2 linked regions of the Saccharomyces cerevisiae S288C genome follow. The protein of the gene in region 1 purifies or fractionates together with the protein of each later gene. This does not show direct contact. Each region holds a gene or a part of one and is shown on either strand. Other genes may lie near its edges.

Region 1 (2,969 bases):
CTCGAAATGGCTATTGAACTCTAGTTCTAAATGCTTTTTCAATAAGCTAAATTTATTACTAAAATTTCGCTGACAATAGCAGCAAAGTAAATCGTGTTCTTTCAGGTACGTAGTTTCAATTTCCTTGTCAGTGCCCAAATTTTTTCCGTTCAATGGTAAATCGTCCCAACTAATGAAGAATCCAGTATTAAATGAATTATAATGTTTTTTGTTCTTCAATCTTACCGAATGGAAATCTTTGGATATGACGTGTATATGTAAGTTGGCCATCGAAGGCACGCTGTGTATCCCAACTTGTACAAAATTTCTTACAAACTTGTTTTTGTCTTTTAATATGTCATCCCAGCAGGGGTCTTTGTCATCATCACTCTTCTTTATTCGGAACTTTTCTTGAAAATGCCTAAAGATGTGGTCAATCGCAGAATTAACGTATGATTCAAACTCATTCTTAAACTTAGCATCAATCACTTTAGTAGGATGACTTCTACTCAGCTGCATAGTTCGTGGTAGAATCAATAAATGGCACTCTGATTTAGGAAACGAGTCTCTAATTATGGACACTTTATCATCAAAGTATGTGACTGTATCATCGTTTACCGTTTCTGGGCTGGTAACGTAGTTTTTTAACGCATACCTCCATGACATTTTTCAGTGTTTTGTTTTATTGTCTTCTCTTATTGTTGCCCTGCAGGATTAGATTGGCTTTTTCACTTTTAAGTGCATCCTTGGGCAAGATGTAAGTTAAAACAGAAAACGAGAGACCCACGGGAGTATACTAATATAGTTACAAATCATTTTTATAGATTAAATATATAGTCATAATTAACTATCGGTGCAAATAGCTATAAATTCGTTTTCATTAATCTCGCCATCACCATCCAAATCAAACTCTTCAATCATCGCTCTCAGCTCTTCATCCGTCAAAGTTTCTCCTAATTCTTTAGCTACACGCCTCAAGTTTTTAATACTTATTTTCCCAGTATGGTCGTCATCAAATAATTGGAATGCCCTTTTTATTTCATCTAACGGATCTCTCTTCAATATTTTTTCCCCCATTACAATATAAAAATCATCATACTTCATCAAATGCCGCCCCTCACTATCATATTCATCTATTAAGTCAAGTATTTCTCTCTTGGGTAGCTCAAATCCCAGGGCCTTCATTGCTACTTTCAACTCGTGGTAATCGAGGAACCCATCATTGTTCATATCGAACAATGAAAACGCCTCATATATTTCTTGCTTTTGCTCCTCCAATAACTCGCTATTAAGTGGACCAGACTGTAGCGATGACCTGTTCTTACTCATACTGTATGATTTATTTCCGTTTCTTCTTTGGTTCACTTCCTTTCTCGTTTAATAAATCTCTTCCATACTTACTAATTAGGATTCTTCTTTTTTTCTCTCTATTTCGCAATAGTTAAGCCTCCAAAACTCTTGGAAATTTAGTAGATAAAATTACGGCATCAGGCAAGAACTAGTTAAGCAAGTACTTCCTGCATCATTAAAGTTGTTCTTTTCCTAAACGCCTCTCAATACTAGAGAAATACATCAAGCTTTGGGTTATTTGAAATCTGTAACTAATTTGCAAACCAAGATAATACCCCCGGGTATTGAGATCAAGTAATTTTAATGAGGAGCAGTTATCAACCAGTGTCAACTACAAACTTTGAACATGAAAATGCTATACCTACTGCGTCGTCGTCCCATAATCTGTTGATGAGCCAGCGTTTTGATGATTCTCCTCCTAGTTCTAACGACAACAGTATAGAAACTAATATAACGCCTCCACCTGAACCACCTTCTTATGAATTTGATATAGAGGACCCTCACGATGATCTTCACAAAAGAACACATCTACAGAGGGTTTCAATTGGGTTTCAGGAAAAAATTTTGGAACCCTTAATGGAAAACATCATTCATCCACTCTTACAAATATCAAAATTCGTTCCAGACAAAGCTGACTATTACTTAAGTAAAATCGGAAATCCCTTTATACTTCGAAGGTTCTTTTACATCATTTTCATGTCATTTATTGCATATTATGTCTTGTCAAGTGGCTACTTATTCAACGAAAAGGCATCAGGATCTAAAGGGATGTTTTCTCAACACGATATACTTTTTGAATATGCCAAAAAATCCGTGGATTTGGCAAAGTTTGAGAGAGATTTGGAATATATTAGTAGCATGCCTCATGGATCCGGAACGAAGGGTGATGCAGCTATTTATCGATACATTCAGGAATCTTTTGACAACAATGGGTTGAAATTGGTTAAAGAAATGGGATACTCAGTTTATTCTAATTATCCAGGCAATGTATCAATTTCATATTATGATAACAAGAATGAAAAGCATGATCTAGAACTTTCTAAAGAAAATTTCAATCCGTTGAGTTCTAACGGGAAATTATCCAAAGTGAGCTTGATTTATGGAGGCAAAGGTACAACATACGATTTACAACATTTAAAAGATTCGAAAACGATAGAAGATGGGAAGGACTATGTGCTTTTACTGCAATATGATAAATTAGTGAGTCAGCAAGTACTAATTGCTGAGAAATTCGGAGCTAAAGCTGTAATCTTCATATCTGAGCCATATGGTGAGAATATAGACGTTGTTCAATCTAAGCCTGTAGGATTGCCCCAATATTCGACTGGTGATGCATCAGGATTGAATTGGGATGGTTCTCCTGTAGAAGAAAAGGATCATAAATTTTGGCGTCAAACTCATATTCCAACTATCCCAATCTCCACGAGACAAGGAAAAGAGCTACTATCGCGTTTATCTTCAGGAGGAGTAACGGTTGATGATGGTAATAGTGATCGTAGTAACAGTGGGAAAATGGGAGACGTATTGATCGATGTAGATCTGCAAACTAATGTTAGGGAAAAGCATTTTATTCCTAATATTGTTGGTAAAATTGAAGGGAGAGAACAATCAGACAAAGCTATAATAATTGCTGCATCGAG
Region 2 (6,332 bases), on another chromosome or scaffold:
AAACTGAGAATTGTTAACTGAACGAAACCGATGTAAATATATCTTAAAAGAGCACCTTTTAAGATCATTCTCCATTGTTTCCTGAATTCCCAAAACCTTGCCTTTTGGATCCATCCTAACCGGGTGGCTAACTCCACACAGCATTTGAATACTATGATAAATCCAGCCAACACATATCCACATAAGACGAAGAAAGTAAAACCGGTACAAACGATGGACGTATTTTCGATTCCCATTTTATAGCCTAGCCTTTTGATTCCTCTAAAAATTAATGTATTTGCATTACCATACAAAACATTGGTAGCTCTTTTGATTAATGGGAGCTCCATCAAATATTGCCAACTTCTTTGAGCCAAAACAGACATAGATGTTGAAGTCAGATATAAGCTAGGCGTACCACCAGTGGATTGCACATACCACCGGAAAATCCTTTGCATGAATGAGATTCTAATTAACCCCATTGACCAAACCAAGTTTTCCGCCCAGGCGGCTGCAATAGGCGGAACTCGATGAACATGTTGCATGGCAACCACGACAACAGATTGGAAGTATAAGAAAAGTGACATTGTGTTGGCAGAAATATGTGAGGCTGCGGTAGAGTTCCCAAAAGTGGATAAGATGGCAGATAGTAAAAGACCAATTCCCGCTACCACTGCAGTTGCCCATTTTACACCAATCTGAGAAACTGTTTTACCGTTTGAGAAGTATATTTGGATACATGCTAGGTACTCGCTCACATTGTTGGTGATCTTGACCCTGGCATATGCGTCGATATCGGGGACTTGGTATGCAATACCAGGAATTTCATTTACGTACTCACTGGAGATGTATTCAATAGAGTCGATCTGAATATTACCTGGGTGAACCGGGCAAAACTGTTTCCAGTTGATTGAACAAAGATCGACATTTTTAGTAATGATCTTGAAACCATATGCGTAGACATCAATATCAGCAAAAATATATGAATCAATTTGAGTTGACATATCAAGATCATAATGTAATGACCTGTCGTCTGGATTGAAAACAACGTCAAAACTATTTGCTGACAGCTGCGAGTTTTCCATACATGTGACCAATGATGTGGCTACCAGCTTCCTTTTTGCCTCTGCAAGATTTACTTTACTGGCTAACAATATTATTAGTCCAATTAATGCCGATGATTTATAAACCTGAAGAAATCTCATGCCTGTGAGGGGTATACTTTTCTAGTCTCCACTATTTGTTGTTGTTGTTGTTGTTGTTGTTGTTGTTGTTGTTGAAATTTTTTTATTTATGGCCCGCTCGTAAATAAAAAGACCTTTCTTAGCTATACTTTGCAAAGAAGTTTTCTAGTACCCACCAATGTTGATTGGCACTCTATAACGAATGACGTCTTCGAATTGTTTTGTTGTCTTTTGAGCGTTGATCTTCTGGAAAGCGGATGAACAGAAGCGTTTTTGAGTTAATTTGATAGCGTCCGTAAGCTAGTAAATGGCACGGACAGCAACAGTATTCAGATATTCTTTTATCCCCAATCCCAACGAAGACTACCTTTTCATAGTCAACAGTTAAAGGAATCAACTATTTGAAGCTAAAGCGATGGGCCGCTGCTAGGGAAAAGGAAGCAACCATTACCCTCCTCATAAAATTGATAGGTCTTCAAAAGGCTGAGACTGATAAGAACTACCAGTTTGATGTCTAAAGAAAGAAAAGAGAAATCCAGGATCTACCTTCATCTCTATTAACACCTGCTATCGAGAGGTTATAATTGTGGTTGTGGCCTAACTACGTATCATACACTATTTTTACTTTATTCCTATCCTATCCTGGAGTTCGAAGAGAACATATTTTCAAGCGAGAAAATCTTCCTTATCCTTTGCATCAATTGCTTGACTTCATTATTTGTCCATGTCGCTTAAATCAAAGTTGACTAAGATTCAGAAGTTATGGCTGTATTATTTCCCCTGTGACAGAATCCTCGCGAAGAGAATATGTAAATCGACTGTTAATACTACGGTAGCTTTCATATTTTGCTTGATACCTAAGATAACTGCGCATTTGGGAGCAGCTCCTGCGATGCTGCCAATGATTTCTGTTATTGTTCACCCTGGAAGAAGGGTCGGGGGTACTATCCATGGTGCTATCTATTGCATAACTGGATTGATATTTGGCCTAGCTTACGCAATCTTCGGCCGGTTCCTTGCGCAGCGATGTTTAGGGAGTTCTTGGCATGAGCTAACAGAGGCACAGCAGCACGTATTGCACTATAAAAGATATGAAGCGGGATTAGCAATTTTGGCTGTTTTCGAAGTAATTATGCTTTTTTTTCATGGTTGGATGAGATCTGTATCACACTATTACTTTGGTATTGTTTTCCCACTTTTTGTCGTGGTTCATTTCGCATTTATGGATCCTTTGAATGAAACAGCAGGCACTATTGCTAAAGCTTATAGTACGCCTTTCTACCTGGGTATTGCAATGTCGATTTTCTGGAATCTTGTGTTGTTTCCTGAGTGGGGTACCACATATTTGGGTAATACGACTATTGATGCTATGAATGAGCTCCATAAGTCCATTGACTATTCGATAAATTTCTTCATTGCAGTTGACCCGCACAATAGTAGCCAGTTGTACAGTAGAGATCCTGTTTCGTTAGGCAAGCTATTGAAGATGAAGTCACTGATTTCTTCTAAAGTTAACAACTGTCGAGTAGTACTTCACGAGTGCATTTATGAGTTTACTTACGCTTATGTTTCGCCAACTAAACTAAAGCCAATCATATCTACTTTGGAAAATTTGACAGTCTTCATTAATGGATTAGTTAATACATGCCAATTAGAATTTATTTTATTGGCAAGACATGATAACAAGCTCAGGCCTGATGATGTCGCAGCTTTGACACTGCCAAAGAACAAAGAAATCAGCTTTGCAAATGCTGAGAAGTTGTTGAAAGTTATTGACAAGTTGCATCCAGTGATTTATAGTCTACACCGGACAATGAGTGAATGCATGTACATAGCAAAGTTGGTACTTGCTCATGCATTTGATGTGAAAGTTTCAAGGGTTCATTCCTGCTCAATGTTCAAAGATGGTAACTTCCCAACATTCAGTAATAACGCCAATAATCTGCCCAATGATGTTGACATCCAGAACAAGATCAATGACCTGAAGCAGGCGTTAGAAGAATGTAAAGCAAAATTCAAGTCAGAAATGTTAAGTTTTGATATTGATATTATGAGTCCTAGTGATGAAATGTTTTTGTTGTCTAGCTTTCTACTAAATTTTAGGCAAACTGCAGATTCAACTTTGGTAATTATGGAGTCCGTCAAGGACATTTTAGTCAAACGTCAAATACAAGAGAAGAAGGGCTGGCTGAGAGGCAAAAGACTTTGGTTTTTAGTGTTGACCAACTACGAGACATTTTCTATCTGGTTAAAAGGCGATAGGAACTCAGTGACTGAAAATGATACATTAAAGGGTACGTTCAATGGTAATACTAATGGTTTTGCTCATGACACAGTTATTAGAAGGCCTGATTATGAAGAGAATGAACTTTTATCTCAAAAAGTTTCATCGAATAAGAACATTGTAAAAGATGATGCATCGCTAGATCTGCCAATGACAAGTGAACCCAAAGGAAATTCATCTTCTACCTCTGACACTTCTTCGTCGCCATTAACGTTAACGAAAACAACTACGTTCGGAACTAATAGAACTTCCAGGAGGCAAGGCAGATTTTCTTTTATGTCCATGCTTATTTCAATTGATAAGTTTTGTGAAGTGTCACATCCTCACTTTAGATTTGGATTTCAGGTAGCCATTGCATTAATGCTGGCTTCATTTCCGATGTTTATTCCAAAGACAAGGCAGTGGTACATAGACTATCGTGGTACCTGGATTGGTTTCGTGTGCATACTTTGTTTGGAACCTTCCGTAGGAGGTACGTTCTGGGTCTTCTTTTTGCGTGCTGTGGGGGTTATTTTTGGAGCAGCCTGGGGTTATCTTTCCTATGTTGCTGCTGTCAACCAAACCAATCCATATTTGGAGACAGTCATCACAGTTTTTGGAGCCATTCCTGGGTTTTACTATTTATTAGGCACACCCTATGTGAAGGCTGCAATTATTGAAATTATTAGTATTTATATTGTTATGCTTGCAGCAATACTTCCCTCCCAAGATGATATATTGACTAGTTTCGCCAAGAGATGTTTAGCTGTCGGCTATGGTGGAGGGGTAGCATTAATAGTTCAAGTCTTTTTCTTTCCATTGAAGGCACGGGAACAATTAAATGAAGAGATTTCTTTTGTCTGTGGCTGTATATCGGAAATGGAACTTCTCTACGCCACCGGACTGGAAGGAGAGCAAGTCGCAAGTAGTATGAGTGAAGAGAAATACAAAAAAATCGAAAAGATATCAAAAAGTGCTAAAGAGGCGTTAGCCCGTGCTACGGCCTATAAAGGACTAACCAGACAAGAGCCGAGATTAAAGGGTGAATATACCGAGTTGGAAAATGTTTTCACTCAAGTTATATTTATTCAGAAGCAAATAATAGAGAGGATAGATACAATTTCCTTGCTGAGAAAGCAAAATGGAAGTGCGGTTATTGAAGAATTTAACAGTGTTGTATATCCATATCGACGCCAAATGGTTGGAAGTATTTCTTGCCTAATGAGAGCACTTCAAGAGGCATTTATAAATAAGACCCCGTTACCGCAATTTTTGCCCAGCGCAAGAATTGCACATAGAAGGCTGATTAATAAAGTGCGCCAAACTCTGCGAATAAGATATCCTGGGCAGATTTCAAATTTAAGTGATAAAGCAAGAAAGCCAAATGAAGGAGATTACGCTGACGGCAAGGATGAAGATGACGATGATAACGAAGGTTTGGTAATGAAAATGAATAGAAGGGGACAGGCCAACACAACAGCTAATCCTCATGAATATGTTTTAAAAGAAAAATTTTTAAGTTGGAACGCATCTAGTGCTGCATCGGAAGAAATAATTGAGTATATTGAAGAGCTGTTGAATTTAACTAAAATTCTGGTCGGTGTAAATGAGTTTAAATACGGGTTTTTATCGCGTCCACTTTACGAGGACTGGGCTGCAGAGGCAGTAACAGGATTTGATAATTTCATTAACGGGAAAAGCAATCCTATGAATACACGGCGCAATCGGACCCCATTTGATGGTACTTCCATCATTTCCGAAGGAAATGAAAGTTTACAAAGTACAAATTCTAATGAATCTCAAATTTCTCCTGATTCCACAAGAAGTTATGAGCCGGAATGTCCAGTGGCATACGAAAAAAATGATAATCCGGCAGCGTTGAATTTATTACGGATTGCTTCTCATAAAGCAGGCCAAAACGCGGATGGCTTACCAAAGACATTTAGAAATAGAGCATTTTCCATTACTTCTACCTCCGGCCAACTTTCAAGCTTAAGCAGACACAGCACCCTTGGTAATGCGGATCCTAATTATCTGAACGATGATGATGAAAGCTCTGATGATGATTTGCCATTAGCTTTGAAAATGGTGCTAAGTCACATGAAAGAAAAGAAGGACTAAGATATTGAAAAGTCCTAATGTAAGATAATTACCAATTTCATATTCATTGTCGATTTCACTTCGCTTAAAGAATTTTTACTGTTTGTTTTTTGTAAAGCCTTTCCAATAAAAAATAGAATGATAGATAAAGGTCATAACTAGAATGGTGGCGAACAAAGCAAAACTTAAATTATCTCTGCATACAAGCGTATAATTTCCTTATCTATAGTAATATATAAGAACTAGAAATCTGCCTATTAATTAATTACCTCCCTAATCTTCTGGGAATTATGATAAGTCAAACCTGGCGCCTGAGTTTATTGCATATAATAATTTCTCTCTCAAAATTGTTTTGTTTCTATAATCTGGCAATTTTAATAAATTAACACAGGTAGATGCCGTAGGCAGCCTGTATTTCTCTGTCCCTGCATTTCTGATACCAAATTTTGGATCTAATGCCTTGAAGCCTTGCAGAGGAGCTTGCGGAACGGACGTGACAAATTTCAAAAAATTCAATTTCTCTTCAAACTTAAACTCATTCAAAACCTCCCAAAAATCAACAATTGTCTGATCTTCTTCTTTATAACCCCCGTATTCTGTGTTAGATTTCAGATCGTCTAAATCGATATTATCTCTCTCACCTGATATTAACATTTGTAGTTCTATAGAGTTAAACATCTCCATCCAATGTGGGGCAATGATAACACTGAGCCCTCCATGGAATGCCGAAACTGGTTTGAAGCATCTTTTGTTTAATTTGTAATCCGTTACTTTAGTAACGTAGAGCAACACATTATCCTTCGTCA

What was found.
Region 2: the proteins of CDC31 (region 1) and YGL140C purify together in Saccharomyces cerevisiae (affinity purification with mass spectrometry, with the first as the bait; one large-scale study listed by BioGRID). This does not show direct contact.

Annotation. Positions count from the first base shown.
Region 1 is NC_001147.6:809,347-812,315, reverse strand, and holds CDC31 (centrin), read right to left. Parts: upstream 1,309-2,969; coding exon 823-1,308; downstream 1-822. Other genes in the region: HNT3 (DNA 5'-adenosine monophosphate hydrolase), read right to left, coding at 1-645; TRE2 (putative zinc metalloprotease), read left to right, coding at 1,633-2,969. UniProt on the Saccharomyces cerevisiae protein: Functions as a component of the spindle pole body (SPB) half-bridge. At the SPB, it is recruited by KAR1 and MPS3 to the SPB half-bridge and involved in the initial steps of SPB duplication.
Region 2 is NC_001139.9:240,568-246,899, reverse strand, and holds YGL140C (uncharacterized protein), read left to right. Parts: upstream 1-1,887; coding exon 1,888-5,547; downstream 5,548-6,332. Other genes in the region: FLC3 (putative flavin adenine dinucleotide transporter), read right to left, coding at 1-1,184; ubiquitin-ubiquitin ligase HUL5, read right to left, coding at 5,815-6,332.